Linked DNA regions of Callithrix jacchus. The protein of the gene in region 1 interacts with the protein of each later gene in a pairwise test. Links are inferred from orthologs where the notes say so. Each region holds a gene or a part of one and is shown on either strand. Other genes may lie near its edges.

Region 1 (6,078 bases):
TGAACCAAAGCCTTTGCCTTCTGAAAGGTACATGACAGGTACAATTATGTAGCTGAAGGTCATGGTCAATTGTTTTTTATTAGCAACCTAAGGCATAAAACTTAACCTGCCACTTGAAAAACTTTCTATCCGGGCCAGGCGCAGTGGCTCACACCTGTAATCCCAGCACTTTGGGAGGCCAAGGTGGGCGGATTACGAGGTCAAGAGATAGAGACCATCCTGGCCAACACGGTGAAACACCATCTCTATTAAAAATACAAAAATTAGCTGAGCCTGGTGGTGCGCACCTGTAGTCCCAGCTACTCGGAAGGCTGAGGCAGGAGAATTGCTCGAATCTGGGAGGCAGAGGTTACAGTGACCCGAGATCACGCCACTGCACTCCAGCCTGGAAACGGAGCAAGACTGTCTCAAAAAAAAAAAAAAAAAAAAAAAAAAGAAAGAAAAAGAAAAACTTTCTATCCACTTCAGAAGCAGGTCTCAGGAGATGCTCAGCAAGAAGGAAGCCACTGGTTTCCAACTTCCCTATGCAAGAGAAATTCCTGGAGAAGGCAGTAAAAATACCAACTCCAGGGCTCCACCTCCAGCTGTCGGGTGAGGTGACAGAAACCTGTATTTATTTTTATGTTATTTATATACTTACTTACTTTTTGGACACAGGCACTCTGTTGTCCAGGCTAGAATGCAGTAGGACAATCATGGCTCACTGCAGCCTCGATCTCCTGGGCTCAAGTGAACCAGATCCTCCCACCCCAGAGTCTAGAAGAGCTGGGAATATAGGCACGAGTCATTATGCCCAGCGCATTTTTTTTTTTTTTTTAAATTATTTCAGAGGCAAGGTTTCTCTATGTTGTCCAAGGTGGTCTCAAATTCCTGGGCCCATGCTAGCCTCCTATTTCAGTCTCTCAAAATGTTGGGATTCCAGGCTTTAGCCACCATGCCCAAAACCTGTATTTTTAACAAGTGCCTCCATTAACACTGAGGTAAATGATCCGTGGTCCACACTTTGAGAAACCCAACCAGTAAGTGGAGCCATTCAGGAGGAAGTGATCATTCAGAAGGCAATAGCTCTATGGCAGAATAATCTGAGGTGTGTAATATAACCCCAACTCTCATGTCATTAATTCTCTACAATTCGCAAATTTTAGCAAATTAAAAAGAATAGAGTAGGGGAATTTGGATGAGGCACAGTGGCTCATCCCTGTAATCCCAGCTCTTTGGGAGGCCTAGTGTCTAGGTGGGAGAATCCTTTAAGGCAGGCTTTTTAGACCAGCCTGAGCAACATAGAGAGACCCTGTCTCTAGAAAAAAATTTGAAAACTAGCTGGGCATGGTGGCATGCACCTGTGGTCCCAGATACACCAGAAGCTGAGGCAGGAAGATCACTGAAGCCCAAAAGTTAGAGGCTGCAGTGTGCCATGATTGCGCCACTACACTCCAGCCTGAGTGACACAGCCAAACCCTGTCTTAAAAAAAAAAAGTAAAGGCATTTACCATCAGCTCCTCCTTCATCTCTTGCAGGAGCTTGATAGTTTGTCCCAAACTAGGCATTTGGGGAAAAGATAAACTTGAGCAGAGGTTCTACTACCAATATTAAAGATAAGCTTTAAGAAAAAGAAAATTGCTAGTCAACTGCCAAGAAAAAAAAATGCCAAGAGAGACAAACATTTCACAGAACTAACTTGCTACCCTATTTTATGCCCTATTTCACAATGCTTAGTATCTGAGCAATCCACAGGGTTCCAAAGTACATTAAAAATTTGTTCATCTCCTCTCTTACTCAGGCAGAATAATAATGGAGATTTCTGAAGGTACCATGCGCCTCAGCAATTTCAACAGATACATTCTTAGATAAAGAAATACCATTTTTTAAAAAAGATCATACTATCAGAAATGATCTTTAATGGATTACTTAAGGGTGTCTGAAGTAATTTTAACACCATCATCAAATTAGTGTCCCTCATTCCTTAATTTATATGACTTAAAAGTCCCTGGATTCTTTACAAATCCACCTGCAGAAAGGATTTTTCTTTCACATGTATGTATTTTTTAATGTTTTTACTAACAAGGAAGCTCCCATCAAAATAACGTTTCCAGCAAACCAGTAAAAGAAATTTTAAACAGAAACATATTTTGTTCTCAGAGATAAACTAAGAAATAATAACTATGAAGGGTGTTTAAGCTTCTGCACTCTCAGCCTTAAAGTCATCTAAAAACAAAGATATCCAAAAAATACATTCCATCTATTCATATTTTGGGGGTTTAGAGTGGCACCATGCAAACCAGCTGGCCTGCTGGGTCCTGGCCCCAGTTCCTGCCCTCACATCCTGTCCACTACATAATCCATGAGATCTCTGTGCCTTTCTCTTCATCCGTTCCACGGGATTAGCAAAACTGCCTCCCCGCTGACAGAACTGAGAATTTCTAGCGGCATTTGTTTGTATGGAATTTGCTGTTATTATCCACCCTCTCATTGGCTCTGTTTTTATTATCTGTACGTTTTGATCAAGAGGGAACAGCAAGAGAAGAATGCCAATAGACAGGCACAAAGAAACGCATCTGGCCGGAGCCTGCATATATTTAAATTTCCAGGTTGCTGCTGCCCTCAGAACAGCACGATGATGGCAAAGTTCTAGAGGAAACTTTCATATTGAAGAGGCTATAAAAATCTCCATCGCCTCCAACTCCACAGAGAAGAAGCTAATCTATTTCTTCCAAAGCAAAGCCTTCTCGAGTCTGAATCAAAACAAAAGATTGCCCATAGGAAATGTAATCTCCGAAGTTGTTTTCGAATCCCAAAGCAAGCAGAAGCGCAGGAAGGTGCGGCCGACTCCTCGCCGGTTTCCTTTCCTTGGGAATTCTGATGGCATTCCCTCGTGCAAGCAAGCGGCCGCAATTGTGCCTTGGGTCCACACCACAAAACCGTGTCGGTGCGTAAGAAGGGAAGGGACGCGGCAGACCCGGGGACGCGCTCACAGGGCGCGGGAGCCGCTCTCGGTTAAATGCCTTTAGGGGCGGCCCCGCGGCGCGCCCTGGGGCCGAACGGCATTGCCTGCCCTTCACTGACCCAGGATTCTGCAGGCTCTCGAGTGAGGAGCCGAGGAAGGAGCGGGGGCTCCAGGCAGAGGCGGCGCCGCTCCCGCCAGCGCGGGTCCCCGGGAGGCCAGCGGGAGGCGAGGCCGGGCCGCCCCGCGCCGGTGGCCGAGGGCAGCGAGGTCAGCCCGGGAAGAAGCGGCCGCCCGGGGTCTCCGCGGGAGGAGAGAGCCCGCTCGGCGACGGGGCCGCGGCGCCCATTCATCCCCACGCCGGTCCCGCGGCCGCCACGCCACGGCCCGCCGCGGCCCCCGGCCTCCCGGTGCGGGTCCGCCCGTCGCCCCGTCGCCCCGCCGCCCCGCCGCCGCCCCCGAGGACGGGAAGGACGAGGCGGAGGGGCGGCCGCTGCCGTCTCCCGGGCGCGCGGCGAGGAGCGAAGGGCGGCCGGGGGGACAAGCACCGGGCGCGGGACGGACGCCCCGGGCGGCCATCGCGCCGACCCCCGCGCCGACCCCCGCCCCCGCCGCCGCCCGCGATCCAGGCCGCCGCCGTGCAGCCCGCTCCTCACCTCATCTCCGGGCGGGTCCGCGCTACCGCCCCAGGGACAAATCAGTGCCGCTCACGCGCCGCGGGGAGGGACGCAGGAGCCGCAGCCCCGCAAATCATCCCCGCCCGCCTCTCCGTCCGTCCCGGAGCCCGCTCGGGGTTCTTCCTCGCGAGCCGCCGTACTACGGAGCAACCAAGCTGCTCTCCCTCCCCCGGCGCCTCCACTCCTCTCTACCTCCTTCTCTCCCTCCCTCGCTCCCTTGCTCCCGCCTATCTCCTCATCTCCCTCCGCTGCCTCCTCCGCCCCCATCCACCCCCCCGTCTCCGCCCACAAGTGGGTGGAAAAACCTCCTGCCAATCGGAAGAAGAGGCTCGCACCTTCTCACCGCCCCCTACCGCTGGCCCCACCCACCGAGCAAACCCAAGGAGGGAGAGCCAAAGAACTGTAAGACAACAGTGACAAGCCAAATGAGCCAATCAGCAGGCGTTGAGGGGGGGGGCGAGATTAGCACTCCTCTCCCCGCGACGTAGGCGAAACCGGGGATTTCTTGTCTGATGTTGCCCTATCGTGGTTTATGGAGATTTTGCTCCACGATTTCGGCGCATCTGCTCGTTCCAGTGCAAGACGCTAGATAGGATGCACTTACTAAGTTAATTATTGGAGGTTTTAAAGGAGAGAATAATGTGGAAAGGAAAAGAGAGGCGAAGCACCACCCAAAGCGGTTGGCAGGGGCAGTGGTTGGAATGAGGAAGGGTGTGGTCTTCAGTTAGAATTTGCATAAAACGGAACCCATGCAGGCGATTCCCACTTCGCCCATTTATTGGTAGCCCTTAGGGCTGTGCCTCGCCTCTTCCCCCGCCCCCGAGCGGAACCTGCCGGGAGATGTAGTTTCGAGACCGGTTGCCATGGCGTCCTCGACAGCCTCGCAAGTCCGACCCCGCCCTTCAGGAGTGACGAGCCACCTGACCAATGCGAGCGGGGGGCGGGCTCTCTGCGGAAGGACTTGAAGGTGGCGGTGGCGAAGGTGCAGGCCGTTGGGGCGGATCAGAGGCAGGTGAGCCCCAGGAAACGCGTTCTGTGTCTTGAGAAACGGGACTTTAAGCGAAAGGTGGAGAGATGCCCCACGAAACCGTGCAGCCCTGGGGAGGATGGTGGTTCGCGTCGAACCCCAACCGGAGACTCTTTCGGGCCCAGGCCTAGCTTAGCTGAGGCCGCTGAGGGGCGGGTAAGACTAGATTTGAGGGACAGTTTCCTGGACCTTGACGGGTTTTGATTGTAGGTCTTATCTCAGTTTGCATCTCCCTCTACTTTTATGGAGACCGAGGTCTGGGAGTGCCCTTCCACTCAATCTCCCAGGTTGAGTCTTTCTCCACTGTTGCTTGTTTCTAGAATTTGAGTGTGTTTTTCTTCCTCTGTTACTTCTTCTCAGCCACTTCTTTCTTCCTCATCCCTTTGCTGTATTCGGAAAGCAGTTAGTAATTATTCGCTGTATGTGGCTTTCGAGCCAGATCTGCCCTCTTCATTCCGCTAAACAGCGGAATAATCTGGAGCGAGATGTAAGCATTGCCTTGGAGTAGGTCTGGGTAGAAGCCAGAAACATCTGCGTTTCTAAGAAGCTCCCAGGTGTGGCTGTCCACGTTATGAGCAGCAAGGTTTTACCTAAACTCTGTCCAGTACAAATATACTGCGAGCCCCTTATGTCATTTTAAGTTTTGGGGTAGCTACATTTAAAAAGTGAAAAGAAACTTCGTGAAATTAATTTTAATTATATTCTTCATTTAGCCCAGTATATCCGAGACATTACTGTTTCATCGCTTCATCAAATATTTTTAAATTGAGATGTTACGTTCTTCGTATTAAATCTTCGAAATCTGATGTGTATTTTCCACTTCCAGCACATCTCAATTCCGACTAGACACAGTTGGAGTGCTCAGTAGCCACCTGTGCTAGTGGCTGCTACCGTAGCCCACTGCAGAAATTAAAAGGTGTGAAAAGTAAGGTTGCATTGACGAAACCCTTTGCAACTCTGTGAGATGGGCTTCAGAACTACTTTAGAGATTCTCTGTAATTGAAATATGCCCAACTTACAGAAATAATAGTTAAAATAGCCAACATTTCTGAAAGTATGATGTTGCCCTGAGTGCTTTGCATGTACTATTTAATCCTTATGTCAACCCTTTGAGATAACTGCTGTTATTATCTAAGATATGGGATCTCGGGCCCAGAAGGTTAAAATTAAGTAGCCCAAAGTCATACAGCTGATAAGTAGGAGAGCCAGGATTCAAACTCGAGGCAGTTTTGACTTCTAAATCTGATCCAGCAGCCACTGCAGTGTAAAATTACTACTTTTTATTACTGATTTCCCTTCACTGATGCCTCTGTTCCAGCTTATAGCAGGGGATAAGATGTTTAGATTTGAGAGAGTTCCCCATACAAGATCAAGCTGCCAGCCTTGTGCAGTGAAACTATACTCTTTTTGTAGACCCAATGATTAGTACTACA
Region 2 (6,103 bases), on another chromosome or scaffold:
AGTCCAGGGTTCTTTGCTCTCCTTTCACGGCACTCCAAGCCTCCCTGGTGTCTCCTCTTCCATTTGTGTATCCCAGCACCTTTCTGTAATTTTCTATCATGTGTGCTGACTAGAGCTAAGTGGGGGTGGGGGTTTAAGATCAGGGGTCCAAAGATGACCAACCTGTTCAACCCTCAGTAAAGCATTTGGCATCAGCTGAACTTCAAGTGCCAGGTCTGATTTCCATAGTGACACCCCTGGGGATTGTTGCCATGGTAACGCTGGAGAGACACTGGCCACAGTGAACATTACTTCCCCTCTCCATTTTTGTTTATGAGACTCCCCCGAAGCAAAGGAGAGCCCTGCTCCCCACTTCAGATATCCCAGGCCACTCCAAACAATACAGATTCTTCTCCAATAACCCTGCAGGTCCCAACCTAGCTTCGCCAAGTGAGGGATCAATGGTCTGAGTTTCTCGCATTAAGAACCCACTTAACCATCAGGAGACCTGAGGGAGGTAGGTGTGGACACTTGAATGAAGGAGAAAGAGAGAGAGAGAGAGAGAGTGTGTGTGTGTGTGTGCACGCGCACACATGTGTGTTTCTTCACTGTCATCCCTCCCACATCTGGTACAGATGCAGCAGCCCAGACGGCAGGTTTTGGGACACTGCTGAGAAAGACCAAGGCAGAGGACAGAGAGACACCTAAATAGGTCTGGTGCAAAAACAACACTCGATTCTGAGTGTGCAAAGAGCAAAACAAGATGGGCACCACACAGAGACAGTGACCCAGACACCCTTCTACTATGACTCAGGCCATTAACTTTGGCTAAGCCCCATCCCCCAGGTTCTGGGAAGAAGTCAGAGGAGTGGGGGAGAAAAAAGGCACATGGAGCTGTCTCTCCCGCTTATTCTCCTACCCTCTAGCAAGCAGAACAAAGCCCACGAAGGGAAGGGACTCTGAAGCTCAGCACTAGCCGCAGTGCTGCAGAGGCGAAGGGGAGAGCAGTCACAGGAAGGAGCAGGGGCTGCACTGGGAAAGGTTCTCCCTCCCACCTTGGCTCTTCCCGCACCTTCCCAGACATCCTGAAGCAGCTTCCTCCATTAATTCCTAAGCCGGCTCCCAACCTGGTGGGCCCCAAAGAGAACTAGAGGAGAAAAGAGAAAAAGGAGCAGGAGTTTCCTTCCCTTGTTGGGACCCTCCAGGGTCTCCTAAAAATCATGTCTCCTGTAACCCTCATTCCCTAAATGACGAATGAATAGTAAGTCTGAAAAAGCAAACTCCAAGGATGTTGCCTGAGACAAATGGCCCCTGTAAGCATTTATCTTCAAGTAAGAGATTGACAAGGAGGGCTAGGGTGAGGGAAGACACAGAGCAAGACAAAGGTACAGCCCTACAGATATTAGGCAAAACAGACAAGGAAGTTCCAGCTGTGAACCTGAGATGGAATCGGCAGGGGGCCTTGGGCATCTTTTCATCCCTCCTCTTCGCCCACCTCCCACTGTGTCTCTCCTGTTTAGCTGGGCCAATGACTGAGACACCACAACCCCTCTTCCCAACATCACCCCCTGCCCCATTCCAGCGCTCAGAGAGCCTAAAGGAGTTGGTTCAGACTTACTGGAAAAATCTTTCAGAGCAAGGAAATTGGGCCTAGAAGTTTTGCTCCCCATTATCGCCCGCCCGTTTCTCTCAGGGGGACCTTAAGCTCCCACTCTCACAACTCATGCTGGCTGCCCAGGACACTCGGAGAGGGGCCTCCAGAGTTGAACCAGGAATTGTTCTGTTGTTGTTGTTTTGTTTGTTTTTAGCCCATCCAGACTGAACAGACTGCAGGGCTGGAGAGGTCCCTGAAGCAAAGAGAAACAGAGGCCCTCTCCATGTGGCAAACACATATACAGACACACACACACAGAGACACAGACAAAAGCACTCATCTGAGTTAACAGTGCGGGTAAAGGTGCAGGGTGGTGACAGACTGGGGCCGTGGGGGACCGGTAAGCAGGTCTCCCCAGAGGTATGTTTACTCAAAGTCCCATTCTCACTGACTCAGAAGGCCCAGACTTCCTCCCCTTCTTTCCTTCATTCCTTTAACAAACCTGTATCCAGGTGCTCTGTGCCAAGCACTGTGGATAAAGATACACAAGTAGCACCTCTGACCTTGACTGCCCTCATACCTGCCCCTCCCTTCTCATGCTGACTTTCACTTCCTGGCCCAGCACCCCTCAAGTCCTACAGGATTCACCCCACATCCTTTCTCCCCACACACAGCCTGAGGTCCCTACCAACCTAGGAAAGGGGACGTGCACAAGGCCTAGAATTTCCCTTTGGGCCATTACAGATGAAAGTGCAGAACAGAAACCTGGGGACACAATGTGATAGGAAGAGATGGGAGGTTTGCAGTCACAGATTGAGGTTCAGATCCATGGATTTATGGCATGACCTTGAGAAAGTTAACCAAGTTCTTTGGGCCTCAATTTCTGCATCTGTAAAATGGAAATATTGATACTACTTCCAAGTATAGTTTTGGGGGTTACATAGAATAACATGCCCACTGTAAATATTAGTTCCTTTAAGATATTATCCTTGGGTAGGGCTGTCCTGATGATGTAGAGGTGGATGGCTACTTTTTATTGGATCCTCAAGAGAAAGGATGAATAAGCAAGTACTTACTAGGATCTCGGGGTGTGGGTATTTTTCTTTGAGGGGTCAGTTGGGGAATCTGAAACCCTCTTCCTACTGTACCTGAGACTGAAAGGCAAACCTGATCTTAGGATTCCAGAGGCTCCCCCCAAGACTGGGTGTGGCATCAATGCATTTCTTTCCCAGTAAACCCTTCATCAGACCTGTTCCCCCCAACACACACACACACAAATTCAGGCTATAACTACTTTAGGGAGTGATGGAGGGTTTGATCTTAGAGCCCACTCCCATCCACACCTCTGCAGAGACCCTGGACTGTTCACCTCCCATCTAACCCACCCAATAGTCTTACCCCTACCTTCCTGAGAGGTGGGGGTAGAGATCTGAGCCAATAACAAAGGGAAGATTAGCTTTCTCTAGGGGAGGGGAGGTGGAGAAGGGGAAAACATCAGAAAAACACAGGACTGGCTCTAAGGGACGGAGATGCTGCAGGGAGCAGCAAAGGGGAGCTGGGTCTCCCAATGGTAGAGAAGTAGCCCCCTGCACTCTGCGGAGACTCGGCCGCTGGCCTGGCCAGGCCACACCCAGCCATCCTGATGCAGGGGAGAGGAGGGGCTGCGGGGAAGAGGATGAAGGATGAGCGGCGAGGAGGGGGCGCAGAGGGACAGGCAGAGACGACGGCTCTGCGTGGGGGAAAGATTCGATCACCTGCCTCCTCCCCGAATTCCCTCCTGGGCAACACTCACCCCAATAACGACGCTGTCGTCCCCTTGGAAAATGGGGATGAACTTGTCTCCCCGCAGAATCTCAGCCTGGTTCAGAGGCCGGAATCGGCAGAGCACCTTGATGCTACATTCGTTGTTGGTCTCCGCCATGGTCGTCGCCGGCGTGGGGCTGGGACACTTCTTGGTTGCAGGGATGGTGTGTGCTCCAGAGGAGGGGGCGCTCAGCTGAGGCCAAGGCGAGACAGGTGCTCGGTCTCTGGGGGCAGAGTTGAGGGCGTCCGAGCGAAGCCTGGGGAGCAGGGCCGGGACGCGCTGTCTCTCTCCTGCGGCAGCGGGATGCGGGCGACCTGGGCGTCTGGTCCTCTCGGGCGCTCTGCCTCTCCGCCCCTCGCGCTGCAGCGCCGCGCTGCGGGCCTGGGCGGGGCCGCGATGGAGGAGCGGGGGCGGGGCTCCCTCCGCTGGGGGCGCTGGCTCGACGTCGACCCCCGAAGGGTGGGACCTCACCGCCCCTCTCCACCCTCCTTCACCCCTAACGTTGGGAGATAACCTTGCCCTAGACCCTTCCCCACCCAACTCACTCACTGCATCCCACCCCACACCCCCGACCCGTTTGTCCCTCCCTCAGACTCCACACCCTGGAAAGGATAAGGGGACTGAGATGGGCCTGTCGCCTGTGTAGGGAAAAGTGTCAGCAGATCTCCCATTCCCTTTATTCCAGGGCATCCCCCAACCCGTCACAGTCCTCTCTCCAAACTGGGGTCACACTTCTCATTCTCCCCTTACCCCATCCCACACCCCACAGGCATGGAAGCTGGACTCCTAACCCACTCAGCCTTCTGGGGGACCGCTGCCTGTAGTTCTATGGAGGTGGGTGTCAGATGAGTGTCAGGGAGGTTCTGGCTACTCCCTTCCCCTTCCACATCCAAAGGTGCACTCTACTGTCTCCCCAAGGTTCACACCAGGTCCCCAGTTTCAGGGAAGACAAACTCCCATTCTGGGTTATGGGAATTCAAAACCAGACACAATTCTTATTTTTGTGTCCTTGGTTGAGGATGGGATTAAGGTGGGCAGGAAACATTTTTGCAAGAGAAAGGGAGTCAGAAAGCAGTGAAGGAGGGGCAATGATGGAGATGTGTAAGGCCAGAGAGACTTTGAAATCTACGGCAAACACCTGCATTTGGGTTTCAGGCAAGTTCAGTGTGTGTGTTTCTTCCTCTCTCAGTAACCATTGGAGGATAGAGTCCCAATACCTCAGCCCCTGCTCCCACCCAACACCCCCCAAAAAAGATGTGCCAAGCCCAGAGATTCCTTGTCCTTCCTGCCTTTGGGTCAGACTCCTGCTGCAGCCCCTGGAAAGAACCACCAAGAAGCTGGCCAAATTGATTTTTCTCCACGTCACAGGCCTCTGCTGACCAACAGAGTTGGACTGCAGAAGTTGAGGTTCTAGGCCAAGGGGAAGGATGGGGTGGATTGGAGAAGGGAGGAGGAGAGGAAAGTTCTGCTCAGCAATTGTCTGGTGAGTGTTAAGGTCACTTAGACACTGTGGGACAAAAGTAAGACTCTGATAGCCTGGCCAGACAAGACCTAACTACTCAGAACTCAGCTGAGCGGGGTTTCCCACATTGGGGCTACACCTCTAACCCACCTTGAGTCTTAAGGGAACTGAAAGAAAAGAGTCCAACATCAGGAACAGGATAGGAAAGCAGTAGGACTATGGAGAAAGGGATAGAGGCTTGGGGAGGAGAACTCAATAGTCACTTGGTTTGGCACGATTTCTAAGTGTTGCAGCATCCTGCAAGCTCAGGAAACATCTTGGGAAACATCCCATCCTTGGGTTCCCAGGGGCTCCAAGGTGGCATCTGTAAAGGAGTTTTAAAATGCCAGTCCTTGGAGGGTCACCGGTCAGAGAGACAAAAGTTCACTGAGTACACCCCACCTCCAAAAGAACGATATGTGAGTTTTTTGGTTTCTTTCTTTTTTTTTTTTTTTTTAATAAAGCTAGATTTGATAAGTTTCAAAGGACTGTCTTTTATTCTGAGTGTGTCCTTCCTGCTTTTCTACCAAATAATGATGGTGATAGAAAGTAACAATGCTATGCTATGTCTGTCCTCAAGATTGGTAGTTGTTTTAATTTTATTGAATCATGAAATTTAAGTCTGAGAATGGGAAGTAAGGATGGTGAATGGGTACAAAAAAAATAGAAAGTATAATTCCAACTATTCGATAACACAGTAGGCTGACTATAGTCAAGAATAACTTAATTGTACATTTTTAGATAACTTAAGCGTATAATTAGATTATTTGTAACTTAAAAGATAAATGCTTGAGAGGATGGATACCCTCTTCTCCATGATATGGTCATTTCACGTTGCATACCTGTATCAAAATATCTCATGTGTCCCATAAATACATATGTCTACTGTGTATCCACAAAATTTTAAAATTTTTAAAAATTTAAAAATAAATTAAAGTCTGAGAACTATAAACGAAATGGTTAAGAGCACGAAGTGTTCAGACAGACATGGAGACACCGCTTACCTATTTATGAACTTCAGATAGGATTGCCAGATTTGAAAAACAAAAAACAAAAACAGGATGCTCAGCTTAATTTGAATTCAGGGCCAGGCCCAGTGGCTCATGCCTGTAATCCCAGCACTTTGGGAGGCTGAGGCGGGCTGATCACCTGAGGTCAGGAGTTCAAGACCAGCCTAGCTAACATGGTGAAACTCTATCTCTAAATAAATAAATAAGAAAAAAAT
Region 3 (6,208 bases), on another chromosome or scaffold:
TTGCTTTCATTGCCACTTTCCCCCTATTCCAGCTTGGTTTATAATGAAAGTAAGAGCCATAATCAGGAGACTTTTGACAATTAGTATCTAAGGACTTTGCAGATTTTCTTCTTTATTGTATGGAAATCTTAAGTGTTTAATGAATATTTAAGTAAAAAACTTTCAGCAACATGCCTTTTTTTTTTTTAGGAATATGGCTTTAATAAACATCCAAACACTGTTAATTATTATGGCAAACATTAATATGTCAAAAAAAAAAACTTTTCAGGCCAGAGAATCTTTAAGAAACAATGATGTCTACTGATTTCAATTAAAGGTATCCTTTATTAAATTCTTAAAAGCCCCACTCTTTCTAAACGCAGAGCCTTCACAACTCTTCTTCTTTTCCCCCCTCCCTGCTTCCCTCCCTCCGCAATAGAGTGCAATCAAAGGCCGTATTATTGCTTGAGCTTGGCTCTCAGGCCAGTGGGATGTGTGTGTGTGTGTGTGTGTGTGTGTGTGTGTGTTTGTGTGTGTGTGTGTGTTTGGTGGGGCAGGTGTGTGCAGGGGGAGAGGTTGCACGCCGTTTATCCAAACCCAGCTCTGAATGGTTTCTCCTAAGCGAGACAAGGATTTTCCATCTCCTAAAAGAGGCCATCAAGTTTTAACATTGCGAGGCACGACTTCTAATCACATCCTTCCCGGAAAAGTACAAACAGTTCCTCAGGCGAGGTCCCCCACCTCCCACGCGCTCCCCAGCCCTCCCTACCCGTGGAGAGCCCGGCGACAGCCTCCCCAACATCTGTGAATCATCCGGGAGGCGGCCACCGCCGAGCTATCCGCGCACCACCCCCTCCCCAGACCTGTGCACGGCCAGGAAGGACAGTTAGGATTGTTGCTTTATCATTATCATTTTTAATCTCTAATATGACCAGCACAAGTAGCCTTTGTCTCCCCGCCCTGATCTGAGCACCCAAGGGCCCCCGAGGAGGCCTGCACAGGTACTCAGTGAACCACCAGATTCGGCGGCGTCCCAGCTGTCCTTGTTTCTAAGCCCCCACCTCCCCCGGCGGTTAGGACGGTTTCCTCGGGGCATCCCTGACTCCGTAGGGTACCCCTAAGACACCCAGCACGCAACCCGAGTGCCGACTGCAAATTCCACCGAAAGCAGCGTCCTCCGTTTTTGCCCTAGGCAAACAACTCAACTTGTATCCCCCAGCCTTTGCAAACCTACGCTGGCTGGGCTAACTCCGCTTTCCTTCTCCTTCCCCCGACTCCTGCCACAGCTCAGAGAGCCTGGCTCTGACGTACTTCAAAATAACGTGCGCCAGCCTCGCTCCCCGGCTGACCACAGCAAAGGGAGCTGCAAGCCCTCGACGCTGCTTCGGTAACATGAAGAAGTCACTCATAAAAATAGCAACCCACGTAGCCTGGCCATATATGGAGCCGGCGAGGGTGGACGGGGATGCCCCTCCGGACCCTCTTTGGAGGAAACAAATCGCCGCTGAAAATTTCCCCCCACTCCTCCCATCACTACCTTTTACCCCTCCTCTACCTTCCCTTCTCCTTACATGACTCAACCACAGATTCCACTGAACGGGGTGGGATGTGGGGAAATATATATATACACATACGCGCACACACACACACAAATATATACATATAATACATGTATTATAAAGTATATACACACATGCATTTATACACATACGCATATGTACACATACAGGCACCAGAGAACATCAGCAATACAGTCGCGGGTTGAACGCATTTGCCCAAGACTGAGTGTTAAAATGGAGTCACAAGAATCGCCCCGTTCGGGTGTTTATAGAAGGCGAAAACACGGCTGTTTGCAGGGCAGCGCACGGGGAGCCGAGTCAAGCGCGCCGCAGCTCGGGCCCCGCCCCCGCCCCCGCCGGTGCCCCGCCCCCACTTCCTCCCGCCCCTCGCCGGGCGGCTATTAAAAGCTGCTGACGTCAAGACGGACGGCCATCTTTGATGAGGGCAGAGCTCACGTTGCATTGAAGACGAAACCTCGGGGAGGTCAGGCGCAGTCTTTCCTTCCCTCCCTGCTCCGCGGCTCCTCCACACTTGCAACCTGCAGAGGCCCGGAGAACACATCCACCCGAGAAGCCCAGGTAAGAAGCCCCCTCCCCAGGTCGTGGCTCTGGCTCGGGATGGCTGCATACCCAGAAGGGACAGCAGCTGGGCAGTCCGAATGGGCTTGGGTAAATACAAGTATTGGTGCACTTAGGGTGCGGTATTCCGTGTGTGCACGTCTGGTGGGGGCTTTATAAAGTGTTTTTGAGGTGAGCTGTCGGGGGAAGGGGAAACGGGAGCCCTGCAAATGGAGCGACAGGGAGGAAGAGCGAGGATACGTACCGAATAACTTACTCTTTTGAAACAGTAGTGGGACCCCCTCTTTCTTCCATTTTGCCATGCAGTTTTCAGAGATGTTTAGGGCTGTTGGGTTCCCCCCCCACGTCGTTCTAACCCTATTATTAGGACTGTTGTCTTTAGGGTGCTATTATCCAGGGAAGAATTAAGGGGGAGACAGGGTGTGGGTGCTGGGGAGGCTAAAGGAGAAGGGGGAGTTCCCGCCCCGGGCAAGCTGAGCTACTGCAGCGACAGCAGCCTCCATGCCCCGCGGACTTGATTTATGCCGCCTGCTCCACGTCAACTGCAGGCTGGCGGGGGGCGGGCGGGTCGTGCCGGGTGGGAGGGCTCTGCGGAGGGCTGGCGCGGGTGGGCTGGCCTCGGGGACTGCGGCGGCCCGCGCTCAGCACCCTGGATAGCAATACCAAGGGCTCGCGCGGGCGCCCTCGACCTTTCAGCACCGGGGACAGCGGTCCGGCCGCAACGCCGCATCTGCCTGCGGCAGAAACGCCTGGCCAGGGCTGGATGTGCCAGGGCTGGAGACCAAATTGTCTCTCTGAGACCCCGGTCTTACGGAGACTCTTAATAGAGCAGTCATAGTAGGTTAAAAGAAAACAAGAAAGAAATAAATCTTGCTCACAGAGACTCCTTTGCCGACAATTTTCTGCTTCCCTCCTCACCTTCATAGCTTCAACAAAATAATAATCTACTTGTGGAAATCTGTGTTGCCTTCTGCCTCTTATTTTAGGTAGAAAATAGATACATTTTTAAAAATATGCATTTATCCTTTAGCACGGTATCAAGGGTTTTGTTTTTTAACACAGAGTAGGTCTGTCTACAGATCTTGGGTGGGCATAAGTAGTGTATATATGAAGAAGCCAATGCTATCTGTTTATAGGGAGGATACGTCTCTCTACCTGTTTCCATTTGATAACAATTTGAGATTAGCTGAACTAAGCAGAATCAACTTTAAAAATGAATCCCTGTTTATTTTCCTTCTCCCCCCATCTTGCAATCAGGCATGAACACAAGTATTCATCCACAAAAACACATCTGATAAATATTACAGGTCCCATACTGTATAACCTCTTTGGCCATGGTTTCAGAGTTACTGGAAGTATTTCCTATCAGCATTGGTTATTGCAGGCTGATAGCTTCAGATTTTGAAAACATTAAGCCTGGTCTTCCTCAGGAGAATCCAACTATGTTCTTCAGGGTAATGCAGGTAAAGAACCATGGTGTTAGACTGGAACTGAACTCTGACCTAAAAGACCTACTGCAATTTCTCTTATGGCACTGCAGGATTTTGCTGAGGTGGTGATAACTACTTTAACCATTTTCCATTCTGAGGCTTGGAGCATCTGAGAAAGCAAAAGTCATCAGGGATACTTCTCTCTGTTTAATATAGATAAAACTAGCATAAAATGACCAGTATCAAAATTACGCCATTCGAGTAGTTAGCAAAAAGAGGGTAACAGCGTCATATGTAAGAATCTATACAACACATTAAAGAAATGCTATAATGATCCCCTTAAAGGACCCCAAATTAGACCCTGGATTGTGTTTAGATAGTCATACCTCCAATCTTCCGTAAACTACAGATACTAAAGTTCCCTGTTCATATACAGAAGGCGATTTCATTCCTAGCTATTCAATTATTTCCTAGTGTTTTTTTCTTTTTGTGGATGACCATGTGTTTCCATGTATGTATATGTTGATCTGTTATTGTGCATGGATGTAAAATTATTCGAGTGGACATTTATATAAGAGTATGTAAATGTATAAAAGAAGTTTAAAACTCTGCATCTGCAGACAAAATAAATAAACAACTGTGTTTTAGCGGTGAGAGAAGAGAAGAAAATATGGGCAGGAATCTTTAAAAATGCTTTAACTTCATGCTGCATGTCCAGACAGCTCTCTGCGTAGTTGCGTCAAATGAAAAGCCTAATGCTGCCAGAATTACGTGCTTGGACATTAGCAATTACTGCTGGGTTTGTTTGCTAGTGGAAAACTGGGAAGGAGGGGGGGAAGTAGAGGACTGCAGTAAAGATGGCAAAGGGCACAGAGCTGAGGGGAAAAAGCAATTTGCACAATTAGAAAGCTAATTTTAGAATAGCTTACTGAGAAATTTAAAAAATATATAATTGAACTATGTATCTAACATTTATATCATTGACAAGCTTCAGGGGGAAAAAATAGAGAAATTTCCTATTTTAAGTTTGAATTTTTAAAATCCAGGGCAATGCGGTGAGAAGAGGCAGGCGTAGATGGACGTAGGATGAGCCAAGAGTCATTCACACAGACCCTCCGGTGCCTGTTTTTGTTCATCGACATTTACTGCATTACCACCTCAACGTTCAAATTACAAAACAACTTACAATCCTCTTAACCTCTTCATGGCAAAATCTCCCCAAAATTTACAATTTTATTTTACTTTGTTAAACACGCACGACCACACATGCACAAACACAATACAAACTACCCCTTAATTAGCTTGTCTAAAGACATTCCTAAGCTCTAAATGTTAACCCTTGAGTGAGTGTTATCAGCTGAAAGACATATCTCTGCCTGTGACACCTAGAAGCTGCGTAGCAGTCAGCCTTCAGCCTAACAGCGTAGGTTTTGACAATGAGTAAAAATGAGAAAAAGAATTTGAGTAAGAGGTTGAGAGAGGAGACATGAAGAAGAAAAACAGATAATCTGCTTTTTAGATAATGCACTGTGAATAAACAATGTTTCTCACATTATGGGACTGCTTTACAATTCTATAAAGGAAGGAAAAATCCATGTTTTAAGCCTCAGCACTAGAAACATTTCTGCAATGTCATCCCTTGTCAGCAAGGACCAACCGGATAGAAAGATATTGATCAACTTGTATGCACCAGATAAATAAATGAATCCCATGGGAGATATAAAATCTCATGGTTTTGCCTTGACCTTAATAAGTTTAGTATCTAGCAATCTTAATAAAAGCAATAAACAATAAGTTAATAAATAAAACCAGAATGAAAATGCAATAAAACATGAGAAGAAAAATTATTATGATATATGTGATTAATTTCCAAGTGAATGTGACCAAAAATAGGGAACATAAATTCAAGAGGGCAATATCACAGTAGAGTGGGACCACCTGAGAGAAGAGGCAGGCCTTGAGGTGGCTTTTGGAGCTTGCAGAGAGGTGGGAGAATTCTGCTAAGTTGAAGTCACAGCATATGCAAAACATCACATTAGGCAAGCCCACTCTACAGTTAGCAAACCCTGAAAATGCCCGTCAATTTGGGTGGAGTAAGAAGCTTGGAGGAAATAGGCTAGGATGGAAAGTTGGAGCCTTCTGTGGAAGGCTTTGAATGTCAAGCTAAGAATTTGATGCTATATCCTCTACAGTTTATTTCTGAGCAGAAGCTGAAAAAACAATATGACCAGGTCCTTCTTAATATCCAGAAATTGCTATTAACAGAGTGGATTTAATTTGCATTCTTCCAGAAGAAGAAAGGAGCAAATTGGTATCATAAGAGACAGTTAATGAAAAAAAAAATCAGTTCTCACTGAAACGTCTTTTAGGATCACTTTGCAGGATGTATATATATATATATATATACATACATAGTTATATAATTCTTACTTGAGAGTTAATTGCAAGTTTCAGTTTTCCATTACTGACTAAAAGAAATTATGCAAGTTGAGTACTTGCCAGACAGATTGAAAAGAAGGTCAGGAATCTGGTGATGAGAAGTCCCAGAAAGTCCCAGAAGGTGCACTTGAATAATAAACATGGTGTAGAACACTCTATTGCTCTCTCTGAGTATTCAGCATTACCAAGTACACTGACTAGAAAGATGAAAAAAGTCATTAG
Region 4 (5,574 bases), on another chromosome or scaffold:
CCACTTCCACATGCTGAGCATTCTGAAACAGAGAGAACCTTTCAGTATTACGATAAAAAAATCATCCATAAACTAAACGCTATAAATGACAAGTCAGCTGTTTCATGACTCAGACATGCTTTCCAACTAACATAAATATCACTAAAAACTCCCACAAAAATAGCCTCATGTCAATACTTCCAAAGACTGTCAAAGAATTGAAAGAAATCTTTATTACTGAAAACACCAAAACACAGCTGTTTTTTCTCCTCTTACTATCAGGTAAGTCTTTTTGTATATGATTCGAAATAGCTGTTGTTTAGAGAAATCCAACTGTTAAAAGTACCTAACACCAAAGTTACCCTATTTAATATGCAGGGTGATAGAAAAATAATACATGTCAACTAACAAATGTATATATCCAGTGGCGCAGGTTGGGCCCATGAGCTTGCCTATGTTGAATTTCTGTTGTGTATTAGCTTAGCCTACCTAAGCAAGTTAACTTGTGCCCTTATCTGTAAAATGAGGGGCATATTACCTCCTTTACAGAAATAACAGCATTTGATTTTTTCCCTTCTTTGAGGTAAAATTTACAAAACGTACAAATTCAGTCAAGTTTTGACAAATGCATATACCTCATACTCCTTCCCAATCCACCTCTAATATCCCCCAAGGCAACCACTGCTACATTTTTTTTTCCTGCATAGATTAGTTGTACCTAGAAATACAGATTAGTTGTACATATATTGTTGTACATACATTGTACACAGATTAGTTGTATTCTAGAAATGAAATTGTAACGATGAAATTAACTTAGCTTGTTGAGATTTATTGGTAATTTTTGTTATATTTCATGTTGCTTTGAGTATTAGATTATCCCTTTTACTGCTGAACAGTATTCCATTGTATAAATATACTACATTTTAATTATCCATTATCTTATTAGTGAATACTAGGCTGATCCTAGTTTTGAATTAATTTCTCCTGTTTAAATACAGAGGATTAGATTTGCTGGTTCATAGGGTAGACATGTTTAGTTTTAGAAGAAATTGCTATGAGGAAGAGGTTCAGCATGATCCATTCTCCCATTAACTTTTTAAATCTAAGTACAACTGAGCATCCCTAATGGAAAATTTAAAATGCTCCAAAATCCTAAACATTTTGACTCCCATATGATGCATGGTGGAAAAATCCACACCTGATGTAATATGATGGGCCGCAGTTTTGTTTCATACACAAAATTATCTTCAGACTATGTGTATATGAAATATAAATTTCATGTTTAGACTCAGGTCCAGTCCCCAAAATATATGCAAATAATCCCCCTCCCTCCCTAAGAAAAACCCCTAAATCCAAAACACTTCTGGTCTCAAGCATTTTGCATAAGGGATACTCAATCTGTATAATATTTTAGTTTATCTCTCAAAAAAAAAAAAACACCTTGATTACCTTGACAGCATCAAAATATTGGCTAAGTTGAGCCCTCTTCTGCTCATACTCTACTTCTAGCTTTCTCAATTCTTTGTAAATATCTGGATTCTCTTTTTCATAGAGTCGCAGAATACGTTCAAAGGTTTCACGCAGCTTTTTACGCTTATCTTTCAGTACTTTCTCATTTAATTGTGGCTGTTGCACTGGGTTAAACTCTGAGAGAAAAAGCAGATTATGGGATTAAAGGAGGGGCCACTTCAATTAGTTATCAATAGGTTACGTAATAAAAAGCTCCATATATGGTGAAAAGTTTTAAAGAGCTCTAGATACGAAACATACTCTTTTCAACTTTATTCAAAGAACTACAATTTTATTAAAATCCCCACCCCTTTTAGATGGCCACTAATTTTACTTTTCTCAGAAATGCCACCAAATTAAGACTTCTTAATTAAGAGAGCCAATGCATGCTTTTTTCTGCCTTAACTAGTCTGTACTGAGTTTTATAAATTGTAACTGGAACCCTGATGAATAGTGTTGTCTTCACCCCTTTCCTTTTTTTTAAAAAGAATAACAAGTTTATCTTCTTCTTTAAATCCTATTAACTATTAATCTTGGTAATTTATTCAAATCCAGAAGGTGTAGTCTTACACCATACTATTCCTAGTGTGATTAGGAAAAGCATTGAATGTCTGAGTTTTAATCTCAGCTTTGCCACTACACAGCAGTGCGACCTTGAGAAAGCTATGTAATCTCGCTGTGCCTGAGTTTCCTAACCTGTAAAATAGGGATAGTACACCTACCCTAAAAAATTGTGAGGATTAGAAAACAAGTGGGAAAAAACTGGTGTGTAGCAAGATAACTACTCGAAAAATCTCAGTTATTACTATTTTCTCCTTTGAAAACAACACATAACATCTGGGGTCATTTAATGAAGGATTTCCTGATTCCCCAAGGAAAGTAACTGTCCTTGCTGATATTTAGACCAGAATAAAGAAGTAGGATCAGTTATAGCTGAACTGGGAAAGATCTGGAATTCTGGAGCCCAACCCAGAACTCTTACCCAGGCTAGCTGCCCAGATTCTCCGACATTATTTCAGAAACCTTTAATAGCATAATGCCATGACTGGATTTTTTGTACTCCATTTAATGTATCATTGAGGAGTTTCACTGCATCTCTTTTACTTACTACTCTGTTTTTGGACAAATCATAGAACTTGTAAAGATCACTTTAAAATACTATTTTAAAAAGATGACAAAGGGTAGAAGACAAAGTGGCAAAAATTTGCCAGGTGAAAAGCACATGGAAGTTAACTAGACTATTTTATTTTCTGCATGTTTGAAAATTTCTATTAAAAGAAACAAATAAAATATTCTGCATGCTCTAATATCAAACAGAAAGGGTATCTGTGGGTTAGGGTAAAGTTTCCCGCAGCGGCATCAATGATTCTCAAACTTGGATACAAAAAAACATAACATCCAGCCATTTCACGTGATTCCAGTTATATCAAAGCAGCGATACTTAAGATGCACATGGAGAGTGAATAAAATGATGCTATGGAATGTGAAAAAGGCAAAGAATCCTGGTATAGTATTTTATATATTTGGTTTTAGGTATTCGATGATTTTTTTCTACATCTTTGCTAAAAATTGGAAATTTTTGCTAAAAATTTGGATAAACTGGAAATGCCTTATATTCACAGTGGCCTGATACTTAGATTTACATGGTAGTTGCCAGCATTAAATAAAAGATGACAAACAAAAAACCCAAAGTTATTTCATAAACCAGATTCTTTTCCTGAAAAGCAAGCTGGCCAAACTGAGCTTCTGTTCTCTCATAGTAACAATTAGCTGAAAGCCAAATGACTGCTCCCCTCTCATTCTGGTATCTGGGGTCTCCAGTTTGCAACAGCCCTCTAGCACTCCATTTTGCCTCCCGAAACTAACATTAAATCCAAGCATCAAATGCTATTGCGCTGTTCTGTTTTACTTACGCCTATGCTGCTTCACTCATTACCTGTCTGCCTCTGTATGTACCAGACTGTTACAGCTGCCTGTTTGTAAATTCTTACCCATTTCATCCAATTTCTCCATGTCTCGGATAATCTGTTTTGGATCCTTCATCTTTAAAACGGCAGCTCGAACCATCATGCGCTGTTTTTTGTTCTTATAAAAATAAAAGAGGGGCAGAACGTCAACAAGTCAGACACTCATGAGTTTTATTTCAACTTGCTTTAAGAATCTAAACAGAATTTTGAACTCCTTGGCTTCTGATCACTTGTTTCAACCACCAGAAACAGCTATGTAATTTTTTTTGCTTTAAAAACGTTTAGACCTTTCAAAAAGATGAATGCTATTTTTAAGATGTGCTTTCTTAGGAAAGCATTTCTTTTAACTCTGTGAGATCTTTAGCAGTTACTTAAACACACATACATACTTTAAATTTCTTTTTTTTCTACCTCTTATTTTCTTAAAGACTTCGGGTGATTGTTCCTGCCCCCTGTTCTAAAACCTCTGCTAGCTGAATTCCAAAATTTTCTTTATCAAAAAAAAAAAAAAAAAAAAAAGCTCAAAGGTTTAAGTGCTGAAATTATATAAAGAATATTTCGGCTGGGTGCAGTGGCTCACACCTGCAATCTCAGCACTCTGGGAGGTTGAGGTGGGCAGACCAAAAGGTCATGAGTTCGAGACCAGCCTGCCAGTATGGTGAAACTCTGTCTCACTAAAAATACAAAAATTAGCCAGGCGTGGTGGCAGGTGCCTGTAGTCCCAGCTACCTGGGACGCTAAGGCAAGATAACTGCTTGAACCCAGGAGGCAGATGTTGCAATGAGCCGAGATTCCACCACTGCACTCCAGCCTGGGTGACAGAGCAAGAATTCGTCTCAAAAAAAAAAAAAAAAGATTTAAAAATTTTGCAGAATTTAATGCTAAACATGAAGACACAATTGAACATTATTTAAAATCTGTGTCGCTTCTATGTATTAAGGCACAATACTATAAAGCAAATTCTTTCTTATTCCGTTGAAGTACTTAGTCACAAATCCAACAGCTAAGAGGAAAATGCTAATTAGGAAAATGGATACATAAAGCTAATATAGCTATAAATATTAGAAACCAATATATATAGTTAAGCTAATGTAATATACATAATATACAGCTAATCAGGAAAATGGATATATAAAGCTGTCTAGCATCATATTTATTTCCATTCTCATCAGTAGGCTTTAAAAGTTATGTTTTAATAAATAACAAAAAAGAATGATTTTCAAAAGTATATAACTCATTGGGAAAAGTAGTCAAATATCATTATAACCTGTGTGAGCTTCTCTGCAAAGTTACTTCAGTTCCTTAGTAAATTTTGGCTTAGTTTATTTCACAGTTTTTATAAAAAGCATAAAGCATCTTTTCTCATAAAATTAGAAACGTTATTCTGAAACCCACTAATCCCAAATCACAAGATGTGCCAAACAATACTTAAAGTTTTACAAGACGCTTCTGAAATCATACCTTCTTTAATTCTCTCTTCCGGGCTTCCTTTCCTTTAAAAGAGAGGGAGATATAATAAAACTTTTGAATCTTGAACGTTAGCATTTCCTCCAATTTAATACAGGCAAGTCTTAACTGTGGGGAGTTATAGTATGCACTGTAAAATAGCAGCATCTTTGGCCTCTATTCACTACATGCCAATAGCATCCCTCAAATTACGACAAAAATGTGAAGACATTTTAAATGTTTCATAAAAAACAACTATGAGTCTGAAGGAAAAGGATAACATAAAATGCTAAACAAGGGCTTGCAAAACTAATTTGCTCAAAATTTCAAATACAAAGAGAAAGCTTTCAGCCAATTCTACTGTGCAAGTCAATCAAATTTGAAAAATATTGTTACTAATTTATTTATTTGCATGTTTAAAGTCTTAATCATGTGCCCATACAAACACTAAATATACAATTTACTCCTCTTATCACTGCTGGTCTTGCAATTAAGCCACAGGGAAAGAAACCCCCTAATATTTGCAATTTTTAACACCATCCTACTTCATCATTCCACACCAATGGCCACTTACGGGCTTGGTCTGTGGGGTTCATAAATTTTCCACTCTTGGTGGATGACGTAGATCTCCGTCCCATGTTGACAATCTATATGGTTTACTTGTTCATTAAAA

Evidence for each region.
Region 2: the proteins of ITSN1 (region 1) and KIF5A interact in a two-hybrid assay, tested with the Homo sapiens proteins (2 studies listed by BioGRID and IntAct). The link is inferred for Callithrix jacchus from reciprocal best matches to the Homo sapiens genes ITSN1 and KIF5A.
Region 3: the proteins of ITSN1 (region 1) and SNAP25 interact in a two-hybrid assay, tested with the Homo sapiens proteins (2 studies listed by BioGRID and IntAct). The link is inferred for Callithrix jacchus from reciprocal best matches to the Homo sapiens genes ITSN1 and SNAP25.
Region 4: the proteins of ITSN1 (region 1) and WBP11 interact in a two-hybrid assay, tested with the Homo sapiens proteins (2 studies listed by BioGRID and IntAct). The link is inferred for Callithrix jacchus from reciprocal best matches to the Homo sapiens genes ITSN1 and WBP11.

What each region holds. Positions count from the first base shown.
Region 1 is NC_133522.1:39,728,969-39,735,046, reverse strand, and holds the start of ITSN1 (intersectin-1), read right to left. Parts: upstream 3,809-6,078; 5' UTR 3,598-3,808; intron 1-3,597. UniProt on the Homo sapiens protein: Adapter protein that provides a link between the endocytic membrane traffic and the actin assembly machinery. Acts as a guanine nucleotide exchange factor (GEF) for CDC42, and thereby stimulates actin nucleation mediated by WASL and the ARP2/3 complex.
Region 2 is NC_133510.1:62,146,070-62,152,172, forward strand, and holds the start of KIF5A (kinesin heavy chain), read right to left. Parts: upstream 3,702-6,103; 5' UTR 3,495-3,701; coding exon 3,366-3,494; intron 1-3,365. UniProt on the Homo sapiens protein: Microtubule-dependent motor required for slow axonal transport of neurofilament proteins (NFH, NFM and NFL). Can induce formation of neurite-like membrane protrusions in non-neuronal cells in a ZFYVE27-dependent manner.
Region 3 is NC_133506.1:17,324,822-17,331,029, forward strand, and holds the start of SNAP25 (synaptosomal-associated protein 25), read left to right. Parts: upstream 1-1,997; 5' UTR 1,998-2,117; intron 2,118-6,208.
Region 4 is NC_133510.1:8,528,888-8,534,461, reverse strand, and holds part of WBP11 (WW domain-binding protein 11), read right to left. Parts: 5' UTR 5,540-5,574; coding exon 5,476-5,539; exon of another isoform or gene 4,949-5,475; coding exon 4,917-4,948; intron 3,574-4,916; coding exon 3,480-3,573; intron 1,626-3,479; coding exon 1,429-1,625; intron 23-1,428; coding exon 1-22. UniProt on the Homo sapiens protein: Activates pre-mRNA splicing. May inhibit PP1 phosphatase activity.